Nothobranchius furzeri: one gene and its partners. The protein of the gene in region 3 interacts with the protein of the main gene of each other region in a biochemical or structural test. Links are inferred from orthologs where the notes say so. Each region holds a gene or a part of one and is shown on either strand. Other genes may lie near its edges.

Region 1 (10,940 bases), on a different chromosome or scaffold from region 3:
CAGAGGTTAGATATTTGGTGCAGTTTTACTTTGGTAGTTTGTTTTCACCAGACGCGACGCTTGGCTGCTAACGGGCTCCTTTGATGAGAGGCATCGATGTTTACTTTGTTTAATTCCTGTGATTTTTGACGTTGTCGTGAAATAACAACGTTGAATCAGAGAGTTTGTGAAACTCGATCGAAACTGAAATTGAATCCGACTGGAGGGGTTTTATTTCATCTGCTGATTCTTTTATCACAGCTAAATGAAACGATCCAAGACACATCACACATGCACACGCACGCACACACACACACACACACACACACACACGCACGCACGCACACACACACACACACACACACACACACACACACACACACACACACACACACACACACACACACACACACACACACACACCACCTCTGTTGATGTCTTGACTTTGTTTATTAGCGGTTCATTCCGTGATTGAAATGGGGGGTTTGGGTTTTCTCCGGCTGTAAATCAGCTTGTCAGCTGGCATTTAGTGCTTTGTTTCTCATTTCAATCACACACCCTCGTGACTTGTACTGGCCCCAGCGCTGCCCCGTGCGGCTCTTCTGAGCCTCGTTGCACTGACAGATGGTCTGCGCTCTCCGGTGTTCATCTGACAGATTGCCGCTAATATTCATTTTCCAAAGTGAGATTTTTAGATAAATTATTTTGTAAATTGTACTAAATTGATCTTTTCTCCTCTGTTGATGCTGCTCGTCCTAAACAAGCACACTTTATTCAGCATATTACCTAACTCACCATGTTATTGTCACCTGTTCCCACCCTCGGTGTGAAGAGCTTAGCAGTTAAACACACACACACACACACACACACACACACACACACACACACACACACACACACACACACACACACACACACACACACACACTTGAACAAAGAGAAGCTTCACACCTCTGTGCAACAACTCATTGAGTATTAAAGGTATTTGGGATCTTTCCAGCATCAGGGTGAGTGTGGAAGCATGCTAGAGCTTAGGGGTCACAGCAAGGACCCGGGAGCCCCGCCTCCATCCTCCATTGTCCCTGGCCATTAAGTTAAATGGGGACTCCAGCAGGAAGCCAGGGGGCTGTTTATGACCCGAGTCGGGCATCCTCGTCAGCAACTAGTTTACTAATGGAGGGTGCCTTGCCTAAATAAAGCTTAATGGCTCGTTTAATCTCCTTTTGGCCCCCGCAAAGTGTAAAAGGAGAGAAAGGCCAAGACAATTCTCTATTAGGTCAGTGTCTTTATTTTCCTTCTTTCGTTTCCAGTTTGGGAGAGGATCTTTTTATTGAATTGTGTTGTTCCAAACAGCTGTAATGGATTTTTGTTCCTGATGCTGGTTGAAGACGGTCGTAAACGTAATAAAAACTACTGTTTCTGATTCTGCAGGCTGCTCTACAGCTTAGCTTTCAACGCACGTTTCCTGAGGCATCTCTGGCACCTGATAACTTCCATGAAAACTAAAATGATCACCGGGTGAGTTGGTGAATCGTTACACCCTCTTAATTCCTTCTGCATCCACCATGTTTCTGGTGTCATGTCTGCTTGTCTCCTCAGCTCCATGGTGCCGCTGCTACAGCTGATCTCTCGGGGGTCTCCCATGTCGTTTGAGGACTCGAACCGCATCATCCCCCTTTTCTATCTCTTCAGCTCTCTCTTCAGTCACTCTCTTATCTCGGTGCACGACAGCGAATTCTTTGGGCATGAGATGGATGGTAAAGGACCGTAGCTGTTGCAGACATGCCCTCGTTTACATGAGCACCTGTTTGAAGACACGTTCCCCCTGTGAACAGGTCAGATCCATTCGTCCATGATGCCCTTCACGCTCCTGGAGCTGGTGACTTTGTCCCGCTGTCTGAGAGACGCCTGCCTGGGGATCATCAAACTGGCCTACCCTGAGACAAAGGCGGAGCACAGAGAGGAGTACATGGCTGCCTTTCGTAGCGTCGGCGTCAAGACGAACGCCGAGGTCCAGCATTGCATTCACGCTGAGCAGAAACGCTGGGTGCAGCTCTTTAAGGTACACTTTTTATTCCCTCTCATTTTTTACTGGTTTTATTAAATGGACCTGATTGATTAACGTTGAGTTGAAACATTTTATTAATTTTTTTTGTTTGGCAACTTCAGGTTTAGAGGTTGAAGATAAAATTGTTTAGTTGACTGAGACTCCCACATTTAAAAACTTTTTTAAAATTTTTATTTATTACCAAGAAAATCAGTTTTAAATCATTTAATTCCAAAAGCTTTTGTGGATTTTTTTGTCTTTCCTTTTTCTTTAAATGCAGCTTTATTCACCTGAAATTCTTGCATTTCTAAATATAATTTATATCTTTTAAACATTTTGCCTAAAAGTAGAGCTGGGTGATAAAATAATAGCAATACTTATCTCGAGAAAGGTTTTCCCTGTTACCACGGGAACAGGTCGATAAAAACTTTTGACATAAATGATAAATGACCCGCACTTGTATAGCGCCTCTCAGAGTAAGGACTCCAAAGTGCTTTACACTACAGTTTATCATTCATCCATTCTCACACTCATTCACACACTGATGGTGATGAGCTACAGTGTAGCCACAGCTGCCCTGGGGCGCACTGACGGAGGCCGGCGAGGCTGCCGAGCACAGGCGCCGCCGGTCCCTCCTTATAAAGTTGCTATAAAGTGGCTGGAGTAGAGCCACACAACATGCTAACGGCTAATGTTTGTTCAGCTTATTTCAGGCACCATGTAGGAAAAAAATTAGCACTCTGAAAGGAAAACGATGGAGGACACAGGAAGTGACATCGTTGACCTAAAGGGCCTGAACAGTTCTGTCGTTTGGACGTAGCTCGGCTAAACAAAGTAGCTGTGCCATCAGTACGGACTAAGCTGGGGAAAGTCAGTTTTGGCTCTTGAGCCAGCGCCACCTGCTGGAGCGGTAGGATCTAAACAGATATAATCCCAGATACAGTAAGAGTGGTGCTAAGCACCCCCATTCTTTCACAGCATAAACATTATATGTTTTATTTATGATATTTAAAATTCTCCCATAATGAGCATAACAATAAAAATTATTTTTATAAATGAAACTGAACATTTGCTCTAAATAACAAAAATTTAAAATGTAAATAATAATAAATGTCTCTGCAGTAGCTCCATATTTAGCAAGATCCAAGACACATTTTTTTGTTTTATGTTTATTTACGCCATGGTGATTAGACCTAATTGTTGTGTCGTCTCTTTGTGCGCCGACGTAAAGATGTGTAATGATTATCTTTTAGAGGAAATCAGCCGTATCTGCATGAGCAGGCAAAGACAAGATAGAGCTCCATTGGTTATTTACTCAAAGGAAATGAGGCAGAAAATGGCATGAACCCAGTTCCTCTCTCATTCTACATCTTTTATTTGATTTTTCCTCCTTTTTCTGTCTTCTTTCTCTCACCCAGCTCTTAACTCTGCTCTTTTTGTTCTTGGCCGTTGCACAGAGGGATCTAAAAGTGAGTTCCGTGAAAGGTGTCGAATGCACACACAAAAAAAGCACGTTTTCATAAAAGATCTGCTCAGAGGCCTCTTTGTCAGCTAAAACGACCCATTAAAGAAGTGAAGAGCAGGGAAAATGCATTTTCCAAATTGAACGTTGGGATTTACAGTTGGTTTAACGCCGCTGACCCCTAACACGTTAATGTTTGGTTGGTGTCATCAGCCGTCCCTCTCCATCTTTTATCACCCCCATTGTCGAGCTATCTATTTAATTGAAAGAAGTTAATTGAATGAAAATGATCAACTAAGCTTGTATTAATATTGCTAATGGAACTTTCTTCTTGGCCATGTTTGGAGAACGGTGTCACATCGGAGTTTGGGAAAGGCCCATTAAGGTTTGCACTTAACCCGATGGGCTAATTAAGGAATGCTTATTCATTCCCAGAGTCAGGGGCTAGGTCTGCTCCAGACCCATCTCCACGCACATTGTACAGCATTTTGCACTTGCCGTTATTGCACACTCCCGTTGCCTCCTGGTGATTGGACGTGATTGAGTGCCGCTCTATGAAAATGACGCGCCTTAAAGGAGAACGTTTCGATTGGAATAATCCAGCTGGGGGTATTATATGGAAATGGACTGGCTGTAACTTTTATCACATCAATGACATCCGTTGACATTATTCAAATGGCTGTAACTCGCCATAGCAACAAGGCAGCCTGCTACCACCAGGGCTGCTGGCACATGTGCAGAAGAAACTTGTGATTTGAGGGTTTTGGTTTAGGGACATCATCAGAGATAAGAGATGTGCTGTTAATGAAGCAGCAGCTAGCTGCTTCAGTCGGATTAGTCGGCCACCTAGAGAGGATAAAACACCTCTTCAAGAGTTGGAGCACATTTGAGCTTTAAAACTGCGTAGGCAATTATTAATATGTTTGGAAGTTTTGTTGTAGTTTTCCTTTAGCCTGGCAAGCCACCTTATATATTTAATATATAACCTGGCCACGACCCATAGACAGATCAGTTGTACACTGTAAAAACTCAATAGGGTTTACTTAAAAAAATTAAGGGAACAAAATAACACATAATAAAATTAAGTAAATTTAAATTTAAAATTCTGTAAAATCTAGAGAAAATTTTAATTAAATCTGTACAAAAATATAAGTAGATATTGATGCAATTAAACAGTAAATGTGTGTTAGATTTAGTGTGAAAATCTCAAATTAATTGTTAAAATTACCTGATTTGAACCAAAAATGAAGTTTAGATCAAATAAATTTTTGTGGAAAGGACTCAACTTTTCTAAGATTCTTAGTTAAAACAACTTAAAGACTCAGGGTTTACCTTACACAGGAATTCCAGAGCCACAAAATCCTCCCTCTCTCACGGACGGCACACGGAAGCAACCCCCCCCCCCCCCCCTTCCAGGTGACACATGAAAGCAAACCCCCACCCAGTCAACTAGCACCATGGCACGAGACATTTCTAGGGGAACCACTGATACCCATAACAAATAAATACAATTGTATTGTTTTTTTAAGTAAATTCAAATTAATCAATTTCACAAAGAAAACATGTAAACTTTAATTGGTCTAACTGTGGAATATAGGACCAATCAGAGCACAGAACAACACAACGTATTAATCGCTATGGAAACCAGTCGGCTGGACACCGTCCCTTTTGGAACGTACATGATTTAAGTACCTCTTATCTACTCATGTCTCAAAGAAATGTCCAAATTGTCCAAAGTTGATGCCAGTCATTCTAAATTAGCGCTGTTCCTAAACCAACTGTATCTTTGTACATTTGCTTCAGCGTCTCTACAAACGGAGCGCTCTGATTGGCCTGGCCTAAACTCAGCCGAGCCAATGGTAGACTGTTGCTTCTGAAGCTACAATCGAGCGTGCTAGCATGCAGAGCAAGTACTTAGCTACTGCTATGTTTCGTCTAGATTTCTAGGCTTGTTTTCATCAATATTTCCAAGAGATCGTCAACCTTGGGTTTATTGGTATCTCTACTGCAAAATGAAGCAATCCTGTTGCAGAGTAGCGATAAATTACCACTTTCATCTATTTAAAGAAAGAAAATGGATTTTATTTGTTTTTAAATGCCATTAACTGCAAGTAGCTCTGTTAACGGTGAGGCTTTTGCTTCCCCTGCCCGATGGCTGATGTCAGCAGACCTCGCTGGTAATTAACAGGGCTGGACGTTGAGCAACGGCGCAGCTCGTTTTTCTTTTATACTCCCATAAATGCTGCATTAATGGCCATATTCTCAAATTGATTTTTTTCCATAAAGCCCCTCATCTCTGTTCGAGAGAATATTGTGGGAAAACTTGTTTATTTATTTTCGTGTTGTAATGGGCGAGTTTATGCTGACGTGATGGGTGCGCTTGATCTACAATGCAGGTCATCACTAACTTGGTGAAGATGGTGAAAGCTCGTGACATCAGACGACCCTTCTGTCCAGCAGGTCACTGGCTGTCTGAGGAGGTCAACATCCGAGCGGATAAGGTACTCAGCTGTCGTCTTTTTTTTACTTCTTATCTCTATTTTGCATTTTTGTTTGATTCAGTGTGAAACTTCAGTCAATTAGAATGAATTTTTCAAATATAGTCTTTGATTTATAGCATTAAAGGTTTTTTTGTGTGCGTATAGATGTATCCTTCATCTAGATGTAAGGGAATCATCAGGAGTTTTTTTTGTCCAGGTCACTCAGCTGTATGTCCCGTCAGCAAGACATGTGTGGAGAACACGCAGAATGGGTCGAATCGGGCCACTTCAGTCAACTCTTGATGGTGATTTAACCTATTTGAATTTTGCATGATAAAAACAAACCTTTTACAAGATAAATCACTCAAGATTGTTTTTTGTGTGTGCAAAAATAAGCACACTAAGTTCCCCTAAGCTCAGATTTATTTGCAGAAAATCTAAACAAAGCCATTAACCTTCCTTGTTCTCACTAAGACCGATTAAACACATCCCTTCATTGCCTCCATTAACCTCAAGCGAACGAAAACACTTAGGCAGGCTCACTTTGAGCCATACAACATGCCTGTGATGTATAGTGTGAAAACAGGCATATAACAATGTGTGTATGATCTCCCTAATGCCGCTCAGGCTGTATGAGATAAATTCAATTAGTGTGAGAGTACCTGATGAACTCAGCCACATCTGCTCCGTGTGTTTGTCTGGCCTTTTCTCATTTCCTTAAATGGACAAGCCCAAGGCTGATAAATGAGGCCCGTATTGACCACTCCGAGGCCATATTTCTCCTCAAAGATGGAAACCTGATGGGAAAATGCAGATCAGGTTGACTAATTGAGCAGAATAATTGAGCTGTAGTTGGAATGGGAAAGGGTGAAGAGTAGGATAGTGATTGTGGCTTGAAGCGAGGGTGGTGGGGGCGCTTAATGGTCCAAACTCTGGGTTTAAGCAAACATTAGCCTATTGGATACATCTCAGCAAGTGGACAGACTGCTCACAGATGAGTTAATTAAAAGAGTGTTATTAAAAGGCTGTTGGACAGATATGCCATTAATGGTTGGTTTGTAAACAGTCTTAATCACAGTGTTTAGCTGTTAGGAAGGATAATGTAGGGTGAGTGGGCTTCTGCTGTTAGAGCAGCTATTGCTAACAGTCTCAACGTGCCAACGCTGGTTTGTGACCAAAGCTATATGGAAAGTAAAATGGAAATTACACCTTGTAGCTGGACTGTTACCAATGGGAAAAAAAAGTAAATATCAAAATACGAATCAAGAAAATTACTTGACTGAGTTATTTTCAATGACTCTGCATGCTTTTTCAGATTTTCTCGAATTCAGAACCACATTTATCTTTGCTATCTTCAGTATGCTTTTCTATGTAACTCAGTAATGTTGTAATGGTCAGAACAGCTGGTACAACACGTCGAGCATAAGCACACCACCTTAAATCTGCATGTCCCAACCCACTTTAACGTCTGCAGTCTATAAACGTTAATAGCGGTAATACCAACTGTAGAACAATGCTATCCCGAGCTACAGCTAACGCTGGCTTGAGCTACTGCCAGTGCTAACCCAAACTTCTGCTAATGCTAGCCCGAGCTTCTGCCAACGCTAGCCTGAGCTTCTGCTAAAGCTAGCCCGAGCTTCTGCTAACTCTAGCACGAGCCACTAATGATTGAAACTCGAGCTACGGCTAACGTTCTTGTTGGATAAGAGGAAAACAACGAAGAAGAATGTTTAGGCACATTTGTAATTTTTTGGAATGTACATTTTTAGGGCTTCTGGTTCATTATGAGCCCAAACAAAGTTTCATAAGTTGCATAAAGGCTCAAATAACAGTTTTCTTTTCTTTTATTTTGTTAAAATGTAGTTCTAGAACCTGTTTTCTAAACCCCTTAAGCCCTAGGCCTATTTTGAAGCCTATTCCTCGAAAAATGGTAAAAATTGTATTTAATGGTAAAAATAGTTTAGATAGCCTTGTAGTGCTGGGTTTGCTAGGGCTTAGGCAAAATACATCGTGTACAGAGTGCAGAAGGCTGCTAGGTGGAGTATCTTAACTAGTAGATACACAACATAACAGTCAAAACATGCTAGGGCTCAACAGTTTTAGGGAAAAATTCAGTTTCAATTTCAATTTGATTCACAATTTTCTTTAAATCAAGCTTCAGCACATTTTTCACGATGTACTGTAACATTTACAAACATGACAGGAAATGACATCATACCATCAAAACATTAAAAGCTGCTTTTCTAATATTACATAGATGAAATTGAAAGTTAAGAATTGCTTTCAAGTGTATTATTTAAAAAAGAAACATGCATTAAAAGTTTCCCTAGCATTGTTTCACCAAGGTGGGTCCACCTTCACACCAATCGCCAAATGCCGACAGATTTTACTCGCGTTCTTTGATACCATACTATACCGTACTATAACTCCACAAAGGTTTGTGCCATCAGAAAATTTCAATATCCACATAGTGTTATTATGTAAATCCTTTTTGTTGCAGGAAACGAGCAAGTAAGATTAGAATAAGAATACCTTTATTTGGCCCTCAGTGGGGATATTGCAGACTCACTGTCTCACACTCAAGAACAGCGCAGAGTGAGGGACAGACAATTGCGACAGAGACAGACGACCACATTAATAAATAATATTGGCCACAGTAGTGCCACGAAAAGGAAAGCAAACTCGTAAAAATAACCAAATGTGCCACTATTCTGAAATTACAAACTCGATCAGAAATTGACAGATTGTTCATTCCTAAAATTTGTCTTCCATGAAGTATTTGGGAGAAACATTTAGTAAAAAATTGAGTGTATCTTGACAAGTGGAAAAGTTGTTTATAATCTTATTTAAAATCGGTTTATGTTTTACTGCAGTTGGTCTGGAGCCTCTGCAGCTATCCGTGTCCGAGGAGAGACATCTGGCCATCCTCACCGAGCTGCCTTTTGTTGTTCCTTTTGAGGAGAGGGTGAAGGTATCAGAACATGTTTCCTGTTCTACGTGTCTGAACTCTGAGGATCATTACTGACTGTCGCTGGGTTCACGTCCGCCCTCTAGATCTTCCAGAGGTTAATCTACGTCGACAAATATGACGTGCAAGGAGACGGGCCGTTCCCCGATGGCATCAATGTCACCATCCGACGCAACTACATCTACGAAGACGCCTACGATAAACTCTCTCCAGAAAACGGTACCAGCGGCGTCTTCGACTTTAGCAGCATCTCCTTACTTTGTGTTCTGTTTTGTTTGTGAAATCGGCCTACATTACATCCTGTTTGCGCTCACATGGTTCCAGTGAATGTTTCTGAATGTCTTATTATGTTCTATAAAGCCTCAGTAATGAAGATCCAGTTTCCAGTTTGCATTAAAGATGAAGAACGCCGCTCTCCTGGAACAGACTATTGGATTTCAGTAAAGCATAATTGTGATTCTGATTATTGTAATGGATCACATAAAAGCAGAATCAATTATTTTAAGTCACCTCTTTTGTGTTTGAATTTGAAAGGCTACTTCAGCGAGGGGGTGGGCAATCTGATTAAAAAGAGTAGTAGGAGACCTGGACTGAAGACATGATCTATATCATCTATGTGTCCATAAGTTATAGCCGCCTTGATTTATCTTTGTACCTTTATTATTCTGAAAGATGACCTGAAATTGATTCGAATGTTTGGCAAGTTAAGAAAGGGCTTCAATGAAAAGTGTGTTTTTTAGGGATTGTTTTGTTTTGCTTTAATATTAATGAATTTGTTTCTTGTTCCATCGGATATTTATTCTTTGTGTCCTTAAACCAGAGCCGGATCTTAAGAAAAAGATCAGAGTCCACCTTCTAAACGCCCACGGTCTGGACGAGGCAGGCATCGATGGTGGAGGCATCTTCCGCGAGTTCCTTAACGAGCTCCTCAAGTCGGGCTTCAATCCCAACCAGGGATTCTTCAAGACGACCAACGAGGGCTTGCTGTACCCCAACCCTGCTGCAGAGATGCTGGTGGGGGACTCTTTCACGAGACACTACTATTTCCTGGGCAGGATCCTTGGAAAGGTGAGCCTTTCAAAGTCAAATTTAATAAGATGTAAAGGCCTAGCCTTCCTTCCATGTCGGAGTTGAGAGCCAGACGCCTTTTAGAGTTTTTACAATACCAGTACATCAACATTACCTGGTTTTTGATCAATAATATTTTAAGACTAACGTGTTTTTTTTATAAGTAAACTGATCAAAAATGGCAAACTTTCTGTGCGACTGGTAAACTACAATTTATTTTTTATTTATTTTGTTTCCCTAACTAAAATGTACGGGAAACTACAATTTAACATCTTTGTACAATGAGTTGAAAACACAGAATTTAAATAATAAATAAAAAAAACAATAAGTTAGTATTTACCTTTTAGTGCAAAACAAACACAAACTGCATGAAGATCAAGTTTAAACTGCTATCGCTTCTTTGGTTAAAAAAAATGTCTGCTCTCTAAAATCCTGAAATATAAAACGTTTATGTCCCAAGGAATTAAATAAATAAACATACAGTAGAAATGAAAAATGAAACAAGTTAAAACTATGTACACTAAACTTTATTCTAGCAATTTTTCTTCAGAGAAAAGGAGCCTGATGTCACCACCGGTTAGAGATGGACCAGGCAGATATTTACCTTTTTTTTTTTTTTATTGGCATCGGTCGACAATTGTCCTCAGTAAAGGCAGGCACATCCTCGGGCAGCCTGGTGCCTGGTACATTTAATTTAAATGTATTTTTACATTCACTAGTAACATCTGCATAATAAGTACCCTAAATGAACTTTAAGATTTAACAGTTAGTTGAATTCAGAGTCAAAAACCGCATCAGCTTTGGAAATTTTGTGCATCAACTGATGTTATTAGTACCATTTTAGCATGTAAATAAGGTGGAAAATGTCTGGAAATTGGCAGCACATATCGGCCGTCGGCTGACTACATGTCGGTATCGACAATAGAAAAAAACAAT
Region 2 (9,746 bases), on a different chromosome or scaffold from region 3:
TGTGTGTGACCTGCTGTGACTGGCTGCAGCTTGAGCTGCGCCATCTTGATCTTATGTTGTATGTCTTGAAGTTGTATCATTCTTGTAAAATGTTTAAATGTGTATCTTCTGTGATTAAATAGTGCTATTATGGGAAAATGTCTCCCTATGTTTTTATTTCTTTATTTTAAACCATATAGCTATTAACAATCTTTTAAGAAGCCATGTAAAAAAAAATCTGTTGTTATGTCACACAATGTCCACTAGAGGGTGACACATGTCTCATATCCTGGTTGTGCACAGTCAACTCCGGTTGTAGGTAGCTACCTCCGTTAGCTTAGCTCCCACCTCCGCGTTAGCTTTGAGTTAGCTTGTAGCTCCATCGCTTCAGTTCGACGGGTGTCGTCATTTGATCCAAGCCTTACAGCCCCACCCTCAGCTCCACCTCTTTTCCCTTTTTTGGAATTGTCTAGGTTTGACGAAACCTGTGACACGGTCAAAATGGCGGTGGTGGCCACCTCCCATTTTGGCTCAAAAACTTATAAATGAAGCCTATGAAAACGAATTGTCCAGTATATATGTCGATGCTCAGATCAAAGGTGAAAAAGTAAGATACACATTATTATGTTGTACTTTTGTCCCTGCTAATATCCTCAGCTATTGTTCTCAAGTATCTCTACATTTTTTTTTAAAATGACCTTAATACCAAAATTAAGACGTTTCACCAGAGCAGCTGTGCTTCTTTTACACTTTTGAGTCCAAATGTCTGCCATAACATGAACATAGAACATTTTAAACTAGCTGAAAAGAAGCAAATTCTATGAAAAAAAGTGAAAATTTGAAAACTTTTAATGACCGCCACTTTTTAGTAAAATGTGTCAACTTTGCTAATGGCTCTTCAAATTCTTCTACTGTTATTCAGTGTAAATAGTTTGTGTGATTTTACCTCATAAACACAAACACACGTACAAAAACACTTGTGTTTAACGTATCTTGTAGATTCGCTGTGCTTGTTTGTGTTGTATGATCGGGTGAGGACTTTAGCTGGATTTCCAATCTGTATTTATTTACATAATAAAACCAATTTCTCTAAACATTTAAATTAGAGTAGTTTATTGTCTATGCTAGTCACCATGGTAACAAAGCTTTGTGTATTACGTCATTTCCGGAAAGATTCGGGAGGCCCGGAAGAGCACCGTGTGCGTTTCTCCATGAATGAAAACTGAACCGCAAACTTAATTTATTCACTAACAATAGATACATAATTTTACAGCATTTTTACATAATTTTGCGTTAGCTCGTTTTAACGGGTAAGAATGCCCAAACTGTGGTGTATACTTAGCATAGCCTAGCTAGTTTAGATAGTGTTTACATCGCTGCTAGTTAGAGTTAGCTAACACATGCTAAAATAATCGGGAACAAATTGTGTCTTTTTTGAAAGCCTTTGAATTTAAATGATCAGAAAAACTAGAGTGAAGCCGTGTTCTACAAGAGCAGTCTTTGTTTAATGTTTCCGGTTGCAGCTCTGCCAACTGATAGACCTCCTGTTTGTGTACTTTTTTCCAGGTTCTCTTGCATGTAGTTGTTGCTGGGACTAAAGGTGTCTTCACAAAGATCTATGTTGCACCCGTGAGAGTGAAGAGCCTGTGTGTGTGTGTGTGTGTGTGTGTGTGTGTGTGTGTGTGTGTGTGTGTGTGTGTGTGTGTGTGTGTGTGTGTGTGTGTGAGCCATGTCGGTATCAGTGATCATAAAGTGGGGAGGACAGGAGTACTCTATCAGTTCTCTGTCTGAGGAGGACACTGTGATGGACCTGAAACAGTCCATTAAGAGTTTGACTGGGGTGTTGCCAGAGAGACAAAAACTTCTTGGACTAAAGATTAAAGGTTAGAAGAGTGTAAATATATGAAACCAGAATAAAAGAAACATTCAGATTACACCATTGATTTCTGAAATGCATTTTTTTAAATCACGTGGAGTAAATCGTTTCCTTCTGAGTCTTTGTTTTAAACTCTGTCTTCAGGTAAACCTGCAGAGGACGAGGTGAAGCTGGGCTCTCTGAAACTAAAGCCAAACACCAAAATTATGATGATGGGTACCAGAGAAGAAAGCCTGGTGGGTGGAGAGACGATTAGGCAGGATGGTGACAAACACTAACTGCATGCTGATCGGTGAGCTGATCGGCCTGCTACGCTTATAACTGTGCATATGTTTTGTTTTGTAAAGGAAGATGTTTTAGCCCCTCCCCCAGAAAATGATGATGTCATCAATGATTTTGACATTGAGGAGGAGGTCATAGAGGTCGAGAACAGGTGAGATAATTTGGATTTATTTGGTATCGGAGCCCTCGAAGAGTCTCAGAAAGGTTGCATGTGTGTACATCAAGCTTTTCTTTTTCCTTTTAGAGAGGAGAACCTCGCAAAAATAGCCCGAAGAATAAAAGAGTATAAGGTGGAGGAAATTAACCCTCCCCGAGAAGGCAAAAGACTTCTGGTGCTGGACGTGGACTACACACTGTTTGGTGAGTTGTCGGGAAGCAATGTGAGATGCCACTGATTTGTTTCAACTCCTTATCTCTTTTCTGTAATTTTTTTACTCATAGATTCTTTGTGCAACGTTATCAGCATCTTCTCATCTAAGACACGCTGAATCAATCCTGTTTTTGTGTTTAGATCACAAGTCATGTGCAGAAATGGGTCAGGAGCTGATGAGACCATACCTTCATGAGTTTCTTACATCAGCATATGAGGACTACGATATCGTCATCTGGTGTAGGCATCTTCTTAAGACTCTGTCATTGCTTTAGAACAGACAATATATATGTGTAACTTTGATCCCTGAGGCTGATAATCTGATTATTTATGTCAAAAATGGGCACAAGATTTATTTTAGGGAACACTTTGAATTAGAGGCGTTCCTCACGTTAAAAAAGAAGAATATAAAATAGGATCAGTGTATGTGTTAATATTATTTATTAAAAATATTATGTTTGTTGAAGTGAACTGCTCTGCTTTATTTTTGATTTTCATACTTTTTTTCTGTAGCTGCTACGAGTATGAAGTGGATAGAAGCCAAAATGAAAGCAAGTATCCTCCATCTTTTAACAGTTTTTAACCAACGTACTTCACATATTATATCAGTAGTCCTTTTCCGAGTCAGGAGCAAGACCAGTCATTTTTATTTTTCAATCTTCATTTTTATTTTATCTTAAAAACATTTTTAATGTTGTTTTCATTATATTGAATTTTTATCTTGAAAGCCGCTCAATAAAAAAGTGAAAATCCAAACAGTTATAATTGAAATTAATAATAACACCAGTAGGTGGAAGTGTTGATAATGTAATTTTCATTGCCTTGGTGTAATTTGAGTTGTGTGTGTGTGTGTGTGTGTGTGTGCGTGCGTGTGTGTGTGTGTGTGTAGGAGCTCGGTGTGACAGACAACCCAAACTACAAGATTACATTCATGTTGGATAGTGGAGCCATGATCACCGTACACACTCCAAAAAGAGGAGTGGTGGAGGTCAGTAAACACAAAATAAAACACACACCTACACACACTGTTGTTACACAAACGTAGAAGCAGAAATCACATTTAGCTGCAGAATTCTTTTATTTTGTTAAGCTTTAGTTTGTGCAATATTTTATTACCTTTATACAGTCTAGATAAATGGTTTAGGATGCTTACAGCTAAGAGGAGTTAGGACTTAACAACCAAAGTGTTTGTGCACAAACAGTGACTCCATCAGCGATGCCAACACATTTGCAGCAGTTCCTTCTTGGTGTTTTTGACAGGTTTTTGAAAGTAACAATGATTTTCTGCATATCTCCAGGTGAAGCCTCTAGGGGTGATATGGGGGAAGTATGGAGAGTTCTACAACAGGAAGAACACCATCATGTTTGATGACATCGGACGAAACTTCCTCATGAATCCACAGAATGGACTAAAGGTAGGCCCCGCCCATCTCCTTTTTTCATCTTTATTGAGCCGAGACTTACCTGTAAACCCGTGTTAGATCCGACCGTTCATGAAGGCCCACCTCACCAGAGAGAAGGACAGGGAGCTCTATAAACTGGCTCAGTACTTAAGAGAAATCGCCAAGCTGGAGGACTTCAGTGGACTCAACCACAAACACTGGGAGAGGTAGGAGAACATGTGGAACCCAAAACAAACAAACATCCCAAATATTTATATGGTCTTGTAGAAAGTTTTCATAAAACGATCTGATCATTTGTGCAGGTACCTATCTAAGAGGCAGCCTCACTGATTTAACTCCAAACACCTGGACTGGACGCCTCCGTCCCCCGTTCTGGGTCTCGGACTGAAGTCAAACACCTTTCATTCACCTCGGAACTGACAAAGATTTTGTAATTATCCATATGCATGTGTTCAACCTAACCGTTTTTCTCCCAAATGTTTTTTATTTTTTTAAATTTTTTACAACATCAGTGGTAATTACGACTCTTAAGTGTGTTGGGTAAATAAAAATAATTTACTCCGACAACACTAACTTGAACCAGCTCATGAAGACCTGCGGCTTTGTCTGATAACATAACCGTAAAGCTAAATTTATTCAAAAGTAAACACACTCTGGTGCAACTGCAAATTCTCTTTCCGTAACAAGATAGATGGAATAAACGATTCAGGTTCAGGTCAGTGAGTGATGTTTTCCTCCTCCGTGGAACACTGAAAGCATCAAATTACATCAAAAATATCAAAAGTGTTTTCAGCGACTCAGCAGTCGTTTATCATGTAACAGTTACTCATTTATGCCGCATATCTGGGAAGGCCCTTATGTTCAAGTTGTTATGGAGATCTGTATTAAAAAGTTTGAAATCAAAGGTGTTTACATTTCAGCGGCATGCAGTGATGATTCTGTGGGATAAAACAACATCAAACCCTTTCATCAAAGCTTTGTTTTGCACGTTTTTGATGGAGAAAGTTGTGTTAACGTTGGTAATCATCGCAGACGTGGTTGCACACAGACCTGCAGGGTGGTAAACATTTATTTTCTAAACGTGCAGCGGTGATCAGGTTTCCATGAGTACATTTGTACACGATGCTGCTGCAGCACATTTAAATATAGTTTTCTCCCTTTTCATTTTTGTTGTTTCTGATTTGAAGTAAAACTGTTATAGGTAGATTGTTTGTGAGAAAAGAACAAAGAAAAGAAAAATACCTATTTTTAGCATTTGAAATAGTTGTATTAATATCTTGAGTTTAAATGATGATGGAAACATTTCTGACAAGTTTCAGAATGCTTGAAATTGAAGTCCTTATTTTTTTTATTCTATTTAATGATGTTCCTGATAATGTGGCTGCTAATATCAAAATAAACCTTCTGTTCCCATTTTTTTAAAACCTAACTTGTCTCTGCTCTTCGTTAATGCTAAAGTAATTTAAACATTTCTTAAAGTGACAGTGTGTATTTTTCTGGGTGTAGGGGGCGGGGCAGTATACCTACATCATTGCAAGCAAGCTGAATTTTAGTGCTCGTAAGACCTTATCAACGGATGGCCATTAGGGTCAAAAATCCATGGGAGCACAACCTCCAGCAAAATGACGAGCGCATCAGAATCCCTTTCATCACTGGCAGCGAGCGAAGACATAAATGCGTGAAACAACATTTATGAATGGTGAAAGTTGTGTAAGTGCTACAATTCAGTAAATGCATTTTGTCCTTACGGGCTCCCGTAGAAGGAAACACAATCCCAACCAGGGGTGCGAGTGCGTAGGGTGTCCCGATTCTCAAGTGCGGAAGTTGATCACGCCCCTTTTGCACCCTTGATCCACACTTTGCCCAAGTCTACATCGATGCAGACTTGGGTGAAGGGTATTACCCACAATCCATTGCTGTGGGAGTGCCTTTTCTGAAAACGTATTTTCTGCTGAAAGTTGTGCATTTTAGGACAATTAGTTGATGCACTGAATGTTTTAGACATGTAAATTAATTTCAAATAATTGTTTGGTTGTTTGAAAGTTGTTAATAAAGTTTTTTTTTTAAAAAAGGTATAGCGACCAACATCCAAGCATGCATTGCTGTCACTGATGAATGCTCCCCGTCCCAATTATTTGCACTCTTGCGTACCACGCACTGGAAGCCTTACTGTGCACTTTCTCCAAGTGCACTTTGCTGAAGGGTGCAGTGTGAGTATTGAGATTGGGCCTTAGACCCACTCCCATGTACTTCAGACCTGATTTTTATGGTCATATGTTACAAAGCTGCCAATATGTTTTAACAACTGGGCATCATTTAATTCATCTTCAAGATTTCAACAGATATATTCAGAGATTAATGGTAAAAACGACTCATTGTCTCTTTCAAAGTTTCATATAATAAATCAAAAGCAGCCTCAGAATGTGCTTCAGATGATCACAAAGTCACAGAAACATCAAGAAATTAAGATGCTTGTATAATTTTTTATTATCAAATATTATAAATTATTAAAAAAATAGAAATAAGTTATAGATAAAGGTAGAAAATGATGAATCAATTTAGGGAAAGATGAATAAATACTGTACATTTATGCTTCTGCCTTGTATAAAAAAATATGTAACAAGAAATCAGATTAAGGGAAAGACCGTTTTCCATCAACCTTTTCTTCCTTCTCTCCTGGCAGCCGAACAGAAGCATGAGTTAGCAGACCACATCGCTTTTGTTCACTCTAAAAAGGAAAAAAAAACAGGATGAAATCAAATAAATCATATTTAACTGTTTAGTAACACCTTCAGTCGTTTCCAACTCACGTGCACTGACTCCAGTTGCTCCACGGTCCCAAGGTGTGTTTGTCTTGTGCACGCACACAGAAAACATACCTCCTGGACGTGATGTTCACTTCATACTTTCTGACCTCGGTAATGTTAGTCTGTGCAAAAATAAACTAATAAATAAATAAAGACAAAGGGATGAACAGGAAGTCAGCGTCTGAATTGCGTTTTTCTCACCAGAATGGGCTTGTCGCTGCTACAGGAATGACCAATGCGGGCCACTTTAATCTGGAAGTGGAGCCCAAAGTAGGAACCGGGCTTGTCCCAGGAGTCGGGGGCGTCCCAGCTGAACACTTGGCCACTGCTGACTCGCAGGTTAGGGAGTTTTTCTGGCTTCACTGAGGAACAGAGGAAAAGGGTGAAACTTAACAATAAGCATGGATACAGAGGATCAATGATGTGCAGAAGTCTAGTTGGTTATATGTGCATCAACAGTTCAAGAATATACAAGAAAAGCTCCACTTTTACAATGAAAAGTACATAAAACCACTTACCGATCTCTCTCAGGTAGAAAGACCGGGTGTAGGCCTCTAGGCGGGAGTAGCTGTGGATGTAAACGGTCAGAGTGATGCGGTGCCTTTCCTCTTTGTAAGGGCAGCTAGCGTCCTGGCAAATAACCCCAGATCCATCCGCCTCCAGCTCACAGGGGATCTTGTCCATGTAACTGGAACCAAACAGGTTGGTGAAATTACATCCTGATCAGGACACGACCCGTGAGACATTATAGGAGTAGAAAACATTGGAGTGCCTTTACCGGTTTGTCTTGACCAGGAGCACAGCTGCGTGGGACCGGTGCTGCGTCCTGGTCCAGCTGCAGTGGAACGAACCGTTGTAGTTTGGGGCCAAGCAGTGGATGTGACCTGCAGGAATAAAAACAGTCAGTTCACACATCCGCACTTCAAAATTTTCATCGCGAACAACAGGGATGTACGAACATATTGGCACACTGAAATATTGCAAATTACATGTTATGATATTGTAACAATATTTCTAAGCAGAGTATCAATTTTCATTGAGAATTTACATACAAACAGTGCAATTCAAACTCTCACTGCTAGGGGGCAGCAGATTTGACCTTCATCTTTCTGACGGGACAACCAGCTCTTCTAATACTGGATTTGTCCTGGAATAGTCTGGCTTGAGTCTTCTGATAAAATAAAAAAATGCAAATATCATCTGGATTTTAGTATCACAATTTATCGTAGTATTATGATGAATATCGTATTTCCAGATTCTTCCCAATACACTCCCCTAACTAACAATTACTGGGTAGTCAAAAACAAATGCGTCTAAAAGTACTTTAACTGACTAACCTTATGGTATTATTTTGCCCTAAATAGGCCAAAATTAATCATGTTGAACCAGAATTTTTCTGATGATAAAGAATATTTTTTACACTTGAGCTTCAAGGAAAAAATCAATTTTTAAATCTGCAATCTAGAATATTTATCACAAGGCCAGTTCATAGTTTACATGAGTATTTTCTTGTCGTAACGTAAGTAAAGCTTATTTTTAAAGCACCAATCACAGAAAGAAAAAGCACAACGATCTTCACAAAGAAAATTTACATAAAAATGAAAACAAGACTAAAAAAGATCATAAAACAACAAAAGATTTAAGCAAAAGCGATTTTAAATTGGGGTTTAGCTCCTTTATAGATTGTGATAAAATGTAAAAATAAAGGAAGTTCATTCCAAAGTGGAGGTGCAACAGACTTGTTTTTGTTTAATATTTATCTCTTTTTGTTTGCAGTTTTTTCTGCAACAAAAGCTTATTGTATGGTTCGATAAACACCCCATTCAAACGCCCCTCCATCCTTCTTATCTCACCTCCTTCAGGAGAGATTTCCTCCAGTATGACGGTCCTGTTATCTGGCTGGACCAGGATCACAGTGTGGTTCAGGTATTCTCCGTCTGGACTAAGATGACAAGTGTAGTTCCCTCCGTTCATCTCTCTCACCAGAACCGTGACCCGGTTGCCCTGCAGCGCCGGCGTCAGCTCCACACCTGAGACAGATTCAAGTTAAACACTCAAGTGTCCATAAACGTTAAAAAAGGAGCAAATTTACTGTGTTGTGCCTGATCTGTAATACAGGCTACACGTTTTATAGTACCTTTTATTATATTTACCATTAAATGTTTAATTACCGGCAAAGGTGTGTGTGTGTGTGTGTGTGTGCGCAGGAAAACCTGATAGTTTTATTACCGTTTCTTTTCCAAAACACAGGCTTGTCTTGATACGCTTCTCCACAGCTGAGAGACACTTTGATCCTCGAACCGTGAACGTGAGACACCCTCAGAACCAGAACTAGGAAAACCAGAGCAGAAGAAGTCCAAATTGGCTTCACAGAAGGTAAAAAAAAAAGTAACAGAAATATTAAAGGATTGTGAATAAAGAAAAACATAAGAACCATTGTCCATCAGTGTCTCCTGGTTATGATCTTGGCTATCAGAGGTGGCAAAGCTCAGACCAGCACACAGAACCATCAGGACTAGAGAATGCATCTGAAGGAAATGACAAAAAGTTATGCGGGTTACATACAAATATTATTTGTTAGGTAATTTTAAAATGTCAAAACTCAACAGATTAAGCTGCTGAACAGGAATTCATCACAATAATAGTGTGTCACATCAAAGTTGCAAAAAAACCTGCTTGAAAATGTTATATCGTTGAGAGAAAATGAATAAAAAAACATATCTTTACTCTTCTGTGTCATCATTGGTGGTTGTTGCTCTTTTTAATATGTACATAAATCAAATCTGAGTGAAACAGACTTATAACAAAATAACACGCATAACAAGAGCAGAAAGTACATGAATTCAGATTTTTTAAATTACCTTGATGCCCAAATTTGGTCCAAAATGTTCAGATTTTAAAAGTAGAGCAGGATGAGGCTTTGTTGAGTGAGTGCTGTTTGACTGATCTCAGCAGGCAGCTGGAGTATTTATCAATGAAGAAGCAGAAGACTGGAAAGCCCGACCCCCTCCCTTCTCTTTTTCTCAGTG
Region 3 (11,720 bases):
GCAGCAACAGGTGAGGAGTTTGGATTATTTTTTAGAGTTATCTTCATCTCTTTGATTCTTCTGACGCTGAATAGAAAGCGACAGAGTGTTTTCAAGAACCAAAAGTATTTACTACTGTTTTTGTTATGTTTTTGGAGGCAGTCAACGTCCTGGGTCTATCAGTGGTTTCTGTGTTGGTTCAATTTACTGAAATGGGCCTGGAGTGTCAGAAACATCGACATATACAGGTGCTGGCCAGTAAATTAGAATATCATCAAAAGGTTGAAAATATTTCAGTAATTCCATTCAAAACGTGAAACTTGTACATTATATTCATGCAATGCACACAGACCAATGTATTTCCGATGTTTATTACGTTTAATTTTGATATTTATAGGTGACAACCAATGAAAACATCAAATCTGGTATCTCAGAAAATTAGAATATTCTAAAGGCCAATGAAAAAATGTTTGTTTCTCTAATGTTGGCCAACTGAAAAGAATGAACATGAAAAGAATGTGCATGTATAGCACTCAATACTTAGTCGGGGCTCCTTTTGCCTCAATAACTGCAGTAATGCGGCGTGGCATGGACTCGATCAGTCTGTGGCACTGCTCAGGTGTTATGAGAGCCCAGGTTGCTCTGATAGTCGTCTTCAGCTCCTCTGCATTGTTGGGTCTAGCGTATTGCATCCTCCGCTTCACAATACCCCATAGATTTTCTATGGGGTTAAGGTCAGGCGAGTTTGCTGGCCAATCAAGGACAGGGATACCATGGTCCTTGAACCAGGTGCTGGTGGTTTTGGCACTGTGTGCAGGTGCCAAGTCCTGTTGAAAGGTGAAGTCTGCATCCCCATAAAGTTGGTCAGCAGCAGGAAGCATGAAGTGCTCTAAAACTTCCTGGTAGACGGCTGCATTGACCCTGGACCTCAGGAAACAGAGTGGGCCAACACCGGCAGATGACATGGCACCCCACACCATCACTGACGGTGGAAACTTTACACTGGACCTCATGCAACGTGGATTCTGTGCTTCTCCGCTCTTCCTCCAGACTCTGGGTCCTTGATTTCCAAAGGAAATGCAGAACTTGCTTTCATCAGAAAACATAACTTTGGACCACTCAGCATCAGTCCAGTCCTTTTTGTCCTTGGCCCAGGCGAGACGCTTCTTGCGCTGTTTCATGTTCAAGAGTGGCTTGACACACGGAATGCGACACCTGAATCCCATGTCTTTCATGAGTCTCCTCGTGGTGGTTCTTGAAGCGCTGACTCCAGCTGCAGTCCACTCTTTGTGGATCTCCCCCACATTTTTGAATGGGTTTGTCGTCACAATTCTCTGCAGGGTGCGGTTATCCCTAGAGCTTGTACACTTTTTTCTACCACATTTTTTCCGTCCCTTCGCCTGTCTGTTAATGTGCTTGGACACAGAGCTCTGCGAACAGCCAGCTTCTTTAGCAATCACCTTTTGTGTCTTGCCCTCCTTGTGCAAGGTGTCAATGATTGTCTTTTGGACAGCTGTTAAGTCAGAAGTCTTCCCCATGATTGTGGTGCCTTCAAAACAAGACTGAGGGACCTTTTAAAGGCCTTTGCAGGTGTTTTGAGTAAATCAGCTGATTAGAGTGGCAGCAGGTGTCTTCTATATTCAGCCTTTTCAGAATATTCTAATTTTTTGAGATACCAAATTTGGAGTTTTCATTAGTTGTCACTTATGAATATCAAATTTAAATGTAATGAACATTGGAAATACATTGGTCTGTGTGCATTGCATGAATATAATGTACAAGTTTCACGTTTTGAATGGAATTACTGAAATATTTTCAACCTTTTGATGATATTCTAATTTACTGGCCAGCACCTGTACATATATGGACAATGTGTTTCCATAGACTCCAATAACAAGTTTTTGAGCTAAAATGGGAGGTGGCCACCACCGCCATTTTGACCGTGTCACAGGTTCCGTCAAGCCCAGACAATTCCACTAAAGGGAAGAGAGGAGGAGCTGAGGGTGGGGCTGCAAGGCTGGGATCAACCGGTCAAACTAGCTACAAGCTAACCTGAAGCTAACCCAAAGCTAACGCAGAGGTGGGAGCTAAGCTAACGGAGGTAGCAACCTAGCTACAACCAGAGTTAACTGTGCACAACACCAGAGCTTCTGAGTCAGAGATACGCCGGGCTGACCGCTGGGTAAAGCCAGGTGGAACACAGAGGTCTCCGAGACCTCCACAAGCCGGCAGCTGCACAGCAGACAAGCGCTGCTGCGATCTGAGACGCGCAGAGCTGCCGCTGGGGAGAACCGGGTGGAAAGGTTTCCATCCCAGAGCTCCACAAGCCGGCAGCCCGCGCAGCAGTCAGAAGCCGCGATCAGACAGAGATGCGCCGAGCTGCAGGGAGGGGAGAACCGGGTGGAAAACATCGGTCTCCCGAGAGCTCCACAAGCCGATAGTCGGAACCCAGCTCCACCAACATGTTATATTTCAACCCATTTTCTAAAGTGCAGCATTATGTTAAATGCACTGGTTTTTACCCTATTACATTTAAATTTCATGGTTAAACAGTACATGTTAAAATCTAAGCTCAGCTCGGCAGTGACCTAAAATACATAAATATAATTTTACTTATAGAAAAAAATGAAGTGGAGATTCCTTGGACATTCTATTAGTGCAATTAATGCCACAGCACGTCATTTTGTCCAACAATTGCACAAATAATATCCAAAAAAGAAAACACAAACACAGAGACTCAAAATCCCGGAGCAGTTTCCAGGCCAGACCGAGGCTCTACTGAGGCCTTTCCACGGAGCTAGCTCTGTGGTCACGTGGGTCTGATGCTCATTAATTATACAGAATTTTAGGCTTTTAATACACTTAAACAGAAGAGTGAGAAAAAAAATCACCCCCCCTCAGAGTTGTCATGAGTGTAAACTAGACCATTTAAACCAAAAACATGTTATGGTACCAGGCTGTAAACATGTTTATTTCTGCTGTGAAATTGGTATTTTTATCATGGGAGTCAATGAGGATTTGCTCGCTTCTGACACCAGCCCCCAGCGGATGAGGGTGGAACTGCAATTTTTGGTACTTCCGGGTTGGACTCAATTTTTCACCCGCATTGTGGGGGCTTGGTCAGAAATCAAATTATGAAGAACCTGCAGCAAGTTGCTTACAGTACATTTCTCTGTTACGGTTCTATTATCAAGTATAAGAACACTTAAACATTTTATCCCCACTGGACCTTTGGGTTTCTGTAGCAGATCTTCTCTGCTTTTACAGCAGCTCTGTCTGCCCATGTTTTCACCTTGTGACAGATCAGTCAAACAGAAACTATTTGAATTCAGTGTTGCACTCGTGGTAAACTAAAATCTGAACATTATGAAACATGTCCATGCAGCTTGTTTTGTATTGATTCTGTCTCATGATTATCCTGTCACATGTTCAATCCTCACTAAACAGCTAATTTCTGCCCCCTGCTGATGGAAGCACTGTCTGCGGTCAACATGAACTCTGAAAAGTTCCTTCCTACATAACTGATTTTACTTTAGACCAAAAATATGATCATTATAATATTTTTCATTATCTAGCACCTTTAAAGGGACTTTACGGAGTTTTGAATTTTTATGCTCGCAATTGCCCCCTCAGGCCAAAAGCGTAACGGCAGCTTCAATAGTAGGCTCGTGCACGAGGCGCGCATGCTGTACGTGCACACTCCTTAACGAAAATAACAGCTGAGACAGTCCGTTGTGTGTGTGTGTGTGTGTGTGTGTGTGTGTGTGTGTGTGTGTGTGTGTGTGTGTGTGTGTGTGTGTGTGTGTGTGTGTGTGTGTGTGTGTGTGTGTGGCCCGGAGGACAGAGGACAGGAGAACGTGCAGCTAATTAATTAAATAATGTGGTTCTGTACCTTTCTCTTCAGCACAGCCGACAAAGGTTTATGATGGGTCAGTCCTCCTGCATGATCAGATCATTCCCTTCCCTTGCTTGAAAATTGTTCCAAAATGAAAGTTGAACCCACATCTTTTTTATCTGTGAATTCAATGCCGTTCGGCAAGTCTCAAATAAAAATTTGGGCATCTTACTGTAAAAAAATATACCATTAATGTAAAAAAGAAACTCTAAATAAGCTATGTTCACATCCAGAATCGAACCCAGGTCTTCTGCATGGGAGTCAGACATCTTACAAGATGAGCTATACTCTAGTAACAGTCACAGTATCTGTAACTTTTATATCCTTGATGTCGATGACAGATGAAACAACGTCAAACCAAAGAACGGTTCGAAGCGAAAATGGCTATTTTGTTGCTAATTTGCAGGAAATATCTAGAAAAAAGTGGCTAAGGGTCCTCAGAAATGTAGCTAGGTTCATCACTAGGCATTAGGAACAGCGACAAAGTCGCTGAGTTGGCACTACCTCTCTCTCTGCTGCTGAAGCTACTGATAGCAAATGCTACGGGCTATGCCCGAGCGTGAACGCGCATGAAGCAGCCTGCTCGACCCGAGCAGCTCTCTTTTTCTGTGATTTTACAGAAAAACAGGCAATCACAGTAAAAATGCCAGGGCTCATTCTACAGGACCAGGGCATTGCAGGAGAATGTATGAAGAAGACATTTATTATTTCTATACATGTTTTGGCTGTCAAACTTCCATAATGCCCCTTTAATTATAAGTGATAAATGGGTCTGGTTGGTCAACATTAAACACTAAAGACATGTTTTTATTAACTTGAACACAAATGCAGCTGGTTGTGGTTGTCTTTTCAGCTGATCAGAGAACTGAAACCTTCTGTCTAAATATAGTTATCTGCTGTCCTGCACTTTGCTTCAGCCACTTTCATACTATTGCATTTGACTCGACATGCACACTGTGACTGTCGAGCTCTTACTCAACACCATGTGTGTTAAACAGCGGCAAACGTACCCTGTGGGGTGACTTTTCCCATAGAAACGATGTTCCAGCATCAAGCACAGAGCTCCCAGCTTCTCAGCATAAGTGAGCCAGGTCCCATTCTGCATCCATCCTGGATTTGCTGGACCTTCTCCACCTATCATCAGAAACACAGGGCCGCCGCTCTTGTAGAAGGACTCATTTATGAAATATCTCTGGAAGAGACAGAAGAGCACACGCCTTACACAGATGCTGTGTGCAGATGAAGTAAACAGTCAGCAGCTTTTTGACACATTCAACACAATCTCACATTGATCCAGTACATTTTCAAGTATTATTATTATTAGCTGACACGCATAAAACATGCCACAGAGCTGATCAGGCAGACTCACTTGTTTCCACACTCTGCTGTCTGCACCATTGAAGTGGTCCAGTTTCTGTGTGAACCACTGCTCCTCACTCCCAGCTCTCTGACTGGAGTCCACATGAAACTTTCTGAAGCCATAAAACCTCCCCTCTGCCACAACAATCACACCAAGCTGTAAAAATAAGGACACTTTACACAGAAAAAGCACAAGAACTCGAACAGCCATGGTGGTGTACTATCAAGGAAACAGTGAGAGGCAGCATGTGATCAAAGTCATGTGACCTGCTGATGTGTTACTTCAAATGGCTCGAAAAACGTAGGAAATTTGAGTTTCCTATTCACACACTTTTATATGTGATTTCCGTACCGAATAAGCATCTTGAAATATTAAATAGTTTTAGATACTTTATTATAACACCACGCGTTTTATCATATCTCAACATATGTGCGGACACAAGTCTTTAGATTTGATAATGTGCACTACTGAAATTAGCCAAGTACAGAAATTTTATTTTATTTTATTTTATTTTATTTTATTTTATTTTATTTTATTTTATTTTATTTTCGGGCATAATCGAACGCTGTTAACTTATGGCCAGCAGGTGGTGGTAAATAAATTCTTACAAGGTTTATTTATACCAAAGAAGAAGAATCCACAGTCGCCGAGTTCCGTGCTAACTCAACGCTTTCAATCATGGAGGAGGCAAAAAAGAAAGAGAACAAGCAGTCTGAAAAGAGCGATGAGAAGGAAAAGGATAAGGAAAAGGGACAGCAGTCCTCTGGGAAAGATAAAGAAAAGAAAGAGGAGCAGGAATTGGTAAGTTTGTGGATTTCTCTCCCCTCTTAAGTGCTATCTAACGTTTCAGGCGCTTGAGTTGTTCTTTTGCCTGAGTCACTGCCGCTGTGACAACACGGTGGAGCAGGCCAAAGTCAGGGACATTTATTTTTATAAACAGCTTATGAAGTCTCATTTAGCTTACCGTGAACATTACTTTTATAACTTTTAACCACCTTTACCCGCTAATTGTTTTAGTCACGTCAATGTCAAAAAATGTGTCCTGCTAGCCTAGCCTGCCCCAGCCGGTGTGCTAGCGTTAGCTGAGCAGACTGTCATCGGTGTTAAACCAGCCTCACGTTGCCCCTCTGTCACACAGCATCTGGGATAAAGTCAATGAATCCGCTGTGTTTAATCCAGCTGCTGCTAACGTCATTAGTGCAGTTAGTTTATATGAATTTATTGTTAAAATAAACTTATTTTACGCTGTTGTTAACTGTGTATGAGTCCAGTCGTCTATAGCCAAACTCACGGCATTTCAGCACCTATAATATCGATCATATTAATACTAATGATTCTGATTTTCTGTAACCATTGTGGGTTCAGTCACCAGTTTAATTTTACATCTAAAGATCATCTCAGGATCCTCCATCACTGTAAACCGGTGATTCAGTAACCAAAGCAGTGGTTTAAAGTTTTACGTCTCTGACCCCCAAACGTTAAAGTTTACAAGTATTCTAGACAGAAAAATACACAAGCGCATTAAAACACAGAGAGCCTCAACATCTATGATCCCCTTGCCACTACTGTGTCTTGTAAAAGTTATGGTAATAAAATGAAATTGTCAATGTTATATTTATTTATTACATTTAATAGGATTTCAGAATTTTTTTCTTAGGATCTACAGTAAATAAGCCATGTTAACCATTTTCCCTACTAAATTTAACATGCAGAAAGTACCTGAACCCTTAAAACATGATGGAATGTTTCATGTAGTTTTATGTACTCAGTTTATAAGGCATTGTGGCATTCTTATTTCCTTCTTAAAGGCTGCAGATCTGTTAACCAGCCTGATTTTGTTTGGTGGTGATTACAATAAATCTTGAATTCCCTTGTGGTTTCTCAGTCAGAGGAAGATAAGCAGTTACAAGAGGACCTGGAGATGATGGTGGAGAGGCTAAGTGTGAGTATCAGTTTTTTTTTAATCACTTTTCTGTTTGCCAACGTGGCAAAACCATGCAAAGGTGAAGTAACATGCCATTCTTCTGTTTCTGCAGGACACGAACACAGCGCTGTATCGTCCTGCATTAGAAGAGCTTCGCAGACAAATCCGGTCCTCCACCACCTCCATGACCTCCGTACCTAAGCCCCTGAAATTCCTGCGCCCACACTACGGCAAGCTGAAAGAAGTCTATGAGGGCATGGCTCCTGGTGAAAATAAGGTAAGTCTCTGCTGCGAGGATCAGAATTTAGAAAATCAACGTTACAGCGCATTTACCAAAGATTTTGTGCCGTCAAATGTCATGCCTCCCCCCACGTTTTATCATCTTCAATGTCCCGCTTCTGCTCATTGTCTCCTAACCTTATGTTTCCCTACTTACCCGATGTTACCTCTTCACTTTGCTAGTGCAGCTCTGGATGAGGCTGTACCACGATGTCAAATGGAAACAGTCGTGTTTGAAATTTGTGTGAAAATTCTCGAAACAGAGCTTTCGACAGGGTGTCTTTTAACCTGTAATCTTTTTAAAATATGTCGAAATAGGGCTGGGCAATAAATCAAAAATGTATTGTTATAGAAATTTCGGACTCTTATCGAGATAATTTTTCCCGTGTCAATAAATTTGATAATAAAAAAAATGAAAAGATGTGTGTAGGTTCATGTCCCTTTAAGAAGCTGTACCACCTTGAGTCATGTAAAAATGGGACTCAATACATGTGACAGCCCCATCTAGTGGACAACTGTTGTTTCTGCGCATACCTGTAGTTATCGTTCGTTTATCATTATCGAGGTGAAATCCTCAATATATCGTGATATTGATTTTAGGCCACATCGCCCAGCCCTAGTCCAAACCATATAATGTGACTAAAGTCAGTATTTTCATTTACCTTACTTCTTATAATATAATCACGCGTGAATTTATCCAGTTTTTGTGAAACAAATACAAGAAGAACATCCCTCAGCTTCTGGTGTTGAACTGAAAGCCTGTGTTTGACAGGCTGGGTAGATTTAGAGGTCACCATGTATTTAGTTATTCTAATCTATTGTAGTTACATTAATCAAACTAACGTGTTAAAGACTTATCGAGTAGTCTGTCTTGTGGTTTACAACATGACGTCTGTGTATTTTGTCGTAGCGTTTCTGTGCTGACGTGGTGTCGGTGTTGGCCATGACGATGAGCGGCGAGAGGGAGTGTCTGAAGTACCGTCTGCTGGGCTCTCAGGAAGAGCTGGCCTCCTGGGGACACGAATACGTCAGGTAAACCTGATCCAGATCAGCCGCCATGTAAACGCAGGAGGTGCAGGACTGTTTGGGTTTGTTTTGGGATTACAGAGCAGCATCGGTACATCATGACTGTTTAGAGGACATGTGGGAAAAGTCTTTATAACATTTTTCCAGTTACGCTCTGTAGTTTGAGCCGACTCTGCTGATGATCACCGCTTTCTCGACTATTAATGTCCATCAGGCACCTCGCCGGAGAGGTGGCCAAAGAGTGGCAGGAGGTGGAGGAGAATGATAAGACCCAACAGGAGACCCTGCTGAAGCTGGTGAAGGAGATTGTGCCGTACAACATGGCCCATAATGCTGAGCACGAGGCCTGCGACCTGCTGATGGAGATCGAGCGTTTGGACATGCTGGAGAACTATATCGATGAAAACGCCTACGGAAAAGTCTGCCTCTACCTCACCAGGTTAGCTCAGAAAACACGCCTCTTCCTTCACTCTGTAGAATGTAAACAGAACGAGTGAAACCTAAGCTGGTTTGTGTTGTCTGTCTAGCTGTGTGAGTTACGTCCCAGAGCCAGAGAACTCTGCTCTGCTGAGGTGTGCCTTGAACATCTTCAGGGAGTTTAACCGGTATCCAGAGGCCCTGCGCCTCGCTCTGATGCTCAATGACATGGAGCTGGTGGAAAACATCTTCACCTCCTGCAAAGACATGTAAGGAGAGCGCCTCTGTGACCTGCTACTGTCAGACGAAACGGGTTTATAATCATCATGCTGCAGATGTTTTCATTTCACTAATCAAACCCACGTGCGACTTTTTTTAGCCGATTTTCCACTCGTGCGAGAATCTACGAGATGGGGGCGAGTTTTGCGCTGAGCGTGGTGTAGCATGCAGGGTATAATGAGACGACTACCACCACACGACCAGCTGCCAATCAGCAATCATAAGCTTGCATGTTTGATGTTTTGCTTGTCCCTGGCAACGGTTTCGCACTGTTGAAGCGGAGCTGCGACCCACAAAGTACCAGAACCGCTCGCAACGTACGCGCAAACACGCATCAGCACGGCTCACCAGCTACAGTCAGGTCCATAAATACTGGGACATCGACACAATGCTAACATTTTTGGCTCTATACACACCACAATGGATATGAAATGAAAGGAACAAGATGTGCTTTAACTGCAGACTGTCAGCTTTTATTTGAGGGTATTTACATCCAAACCAGGTGAACGGTGTAGGAATTACTACAGTTTGCATATGTGCCTCCCAATTAAGGGACCAAAAGTAACGGGACAGAATAAGAACCATAAAGCAAACTTATACATTTCATTACTTGGTTGCAAATCATTTGCAGTCAATTACAGCCTGAAGTCTGGAACACATGACATCACCAGACGTTGGGTTTCATCCCTGGTGATGCTCTGCCAGGCCTCTACTGCAACAGTCTTCAGTTCCTGCTTGTTCCTGGAGCGTTTTCCCTTCAGTTTTGTCTTCAGCAAGTGAAACGCACGCTCAATCAGATTCAGGTCAGGTGATTGACTTGGCCATTGCAAAACAGTCCACTTATTTCCCTTCAAAAACTCTTTGGTTGCTTTTGCAGTATGCTTTGGGTCATTGTCCATCTGCACTGTAAAGCGCCGTCCAGTGTGTTCTGAGGCATTTGGCTGAATATGAGCAGATAATATTGCCCGAAACACTTCAGAATTCATCGTGCTGCTTTAGTCAGCAGTCACATCATCAATAAATATAAGAGAACCAGTTCCACATGCAGCCATACATGCCCACGCCATGACACTTCCAGCACCATGCTTCACTGATGAGGTGGTATGCTGACCCCAAAATTCCACTATCTCTGCTCCGGCACGAACTCCGCATCAAAAACGGTTCCGTTGTAGTCAATCGGAGCTGTTCCACTACTGCGGCCGTGCGGAGCACCTCCGCAGTAAATGGACAGAAATCACAACGGCCCAACAGGAAAGGGAGCAAGCACACCTTCCGTTATTTCACAATAAATCGATAAACAAAAAGCATTTTTTGTTTCATATGCACAGGTTTAACAACTTTTAACAACTATCAATGACGGTTGAACTTTAAATGCACAAAAATAAGCCATAAATACAGTTTCTACTATCAAATTACACCCATTGTTGATCCAAACACTGCTGATCTCTCAACACTAATGATGAGCAGATTAAACAGTTCATTTCGATGCTTCTCCCACACAACGGGTGTTTGGATCTAACTTCCGTGTTTATTGCTCGGACTGTATCGCAAGATCTCGAAAATCCCACGCATGCCTGTTTGCGCCCCTCAGGTCTCCGCACCGGAGCGGAGCCGTTGTAGAGCGGGTAGAGTATAATTTGAGTTCGGAAGCGGGCGGCAGCAGAAAGTGGGGCGGAGCGGAGATAGTGGAATTTTGGGGTTAGGATCATGAGCAGTTCCTTTCCGTCTCCATACTCTTCTCTTCCCATCACTCTGGTACAAGTTGGTCTTGGTCTCATCTGTCCGTAGGATGTTGTTCCAGAACTCTGAAGGCTTTTTTAGACGTTGTTTGGCAAACTAATCTGGCCTTCCTGTTTTTGGGGCTCACCAATGGTTTACATCTTGTGGTGAACCCTCTGTATTCACACTGGTGGAGTCTTCTCTTGATTGTTGACTTTGACACAGACACACCTACCTCCTTTCATCAACCTTTCGTTTATGATGGCTTGCTTCTCTGATAGTGACAGCTCTTTGGATCTCATCTCGACAGTTGACAGCAACAGATTCCAAATGCAAATAGCCCACTTGAAATGAACTCTGGATCTTTTATCTGCTCGTTGTAATTGGGATAATGAGGGAATAACACACACCTGGCCATGGAACAGCTGAGAAGCTACCTGTAATTGTCCCGTTACTTTTGGTCCCTTAATTGGGAGGCACATGTGCAAACTGTAGTAATTCCTACACCGTTCACCTGGTTTGGATGTAAATACCCTCAAATAAAAGCTGACAGTCTGCAGTTAAAGCACATCTTGTTCCTTTCATTTCATATCCATTGTGGTGTGTATAGAGCCAAGAATGTTAGCATTGTGTCTATGTCCCAGTATTTATGGACCTGAGTGTATTTCCCTATAAACACACGTCAGTCATTTATATTTATACACTACTTTCACACACAATGACGGTGATTGTCAAGAAAGCGTTTTTATGTCAAATTAAAATGAAAAAACATTGATTTAGTTTTTCATCTTCCTCCTCCAACCCCATGAGTTCCTGTGTCCTACAGCACTCCCAAAGGACAA

What was found.
Region 1: the proteins of psmd2 (region 3) and ube3c form a complex in vitro, tested with the Homo sapiens proteins (2 studies listed by BioGRID). The link is inferred for Nothobranchius furzeri from reciprocal best matches to the Homo sapiens genes PSMD2 and UBE3C.
Region 2: the proteins of psmd2 (region 3) and ublcp1 form a complex in vitro, tested with the Homo sapiens proteins (3 studies listed by BioGRID). The link is inferred for Nothobranchius furzeri from reciprocal best matches to the Homo sapiens genes PSMD2 and UBLCP1.

Annotation. Positions count from the first base shown.
Region 1 is NC_091747.1:47,536,232-47,547,171, reverse strand, and holds part of ube3c (ubiquitin-protein ligase E3C), read left to right. Parts: intron 1-1,410; coding exon 1,411-1,497; intron 1,498-1,578; coding exon 1,579-1,736; intron 1,737-1,814; coding exon 1,815-2,041; intron 2,042-5,884; coding exon 5,885-5,989; intron 5,990-6,185; coding exon 6,186-6,273; intron 6,274-8,841; coding exon 8,842-8,939; intron 8,940-9,022; coding exon 9,023-9,155; intron 9,156-9,756; coding exon 9,757-10,004; intron 10,005-10,940. UniProt on the Homo sapiens protein: E3 ubiquitin-protein ligase that specifically catalyzes 'Lys-29'- and 'Lys-48'-linked polyubiquitin chains.
Region 2 is NC_091750.1:56,492,035-56,501,780, reverse strand, and holds ublcp1 (ubiquitin-like domain-containing CTD phosphatase 1), read left to right. Parts: upstream 1-1,134; 5' UTR 1,135-1,289; intron 1,290-1,545; 5' UTR 1,546-1,708; coding exon 1,709-1,862; intron 1,863-1,999; coding exon 2,000-2,091; intron 2,092-2,202; coding exon 2,203-2,288; intron 2,289-2,381; coding exon 2,382-2,497; intron 2,498-2,648; coding exon 2,649-2,747; intron 2,748-3,020; coding exon 3,021-3,058; intron 3,059-3,396; coding exon 3,397-3,495; intron 3,496-3,805; coding exon 3,806-3,922; intron 3,923-3,988; coding exon 3,989-4,116; intron 4,117-4,212; coding exon 4,213-4,240; 3' UTR 4,241-5,985; downstream 5,986-9,746. Other genes in the region: il12bb (interleukin-12 subunit beta), read right to left, coding at 6,611-6,638, 6,721-6,839, 6,919-7,079, 7,236-7,405, 7,496-7,601, 8,571-8,747, 8,947-9,048, 9,152-9,245. UniProt on the Homo sapiens protein: Dephosphorylates 26S nuclear proteasomes, thereby decreasing their proteolytic activity. Recruited to the 19S regulatory particle of the 26S proteasome through its interaction with 19S component PSMD2/RPN1.
Region 3 is NC_091753.1:19,340,712-19,352,431, forward strand, and holds the start of psmd2 (26S proteasome non-ATPase regulatory subunit 2), read left to right. Parts: upstream 1-5,850; 5' UTR 5,851-5,912; coding exon 5,913-6,035; intron 6,036-7,119; coding exon 7,120-7,176; intron 7,177-7,270; coding exon 7,271-7,435; intron 7,436-8,347; coding exon 8,348-8,469; intron 8,470-8,677; coding exon 8,678-8,902; intron 8,903-8,990; coding exon 8,991-9,149; intron 9,150-11,720. Other genes in the region: prss59 (thymus-specific serine protease), read right to left, coding at 4,885-5,066, 5,244-5,444. UniProt on the Homo sapiens protein: Component of the 26S proteasome, a multiprotein complex involved in the ATP-dependent degradation of ubiquitinated proteins.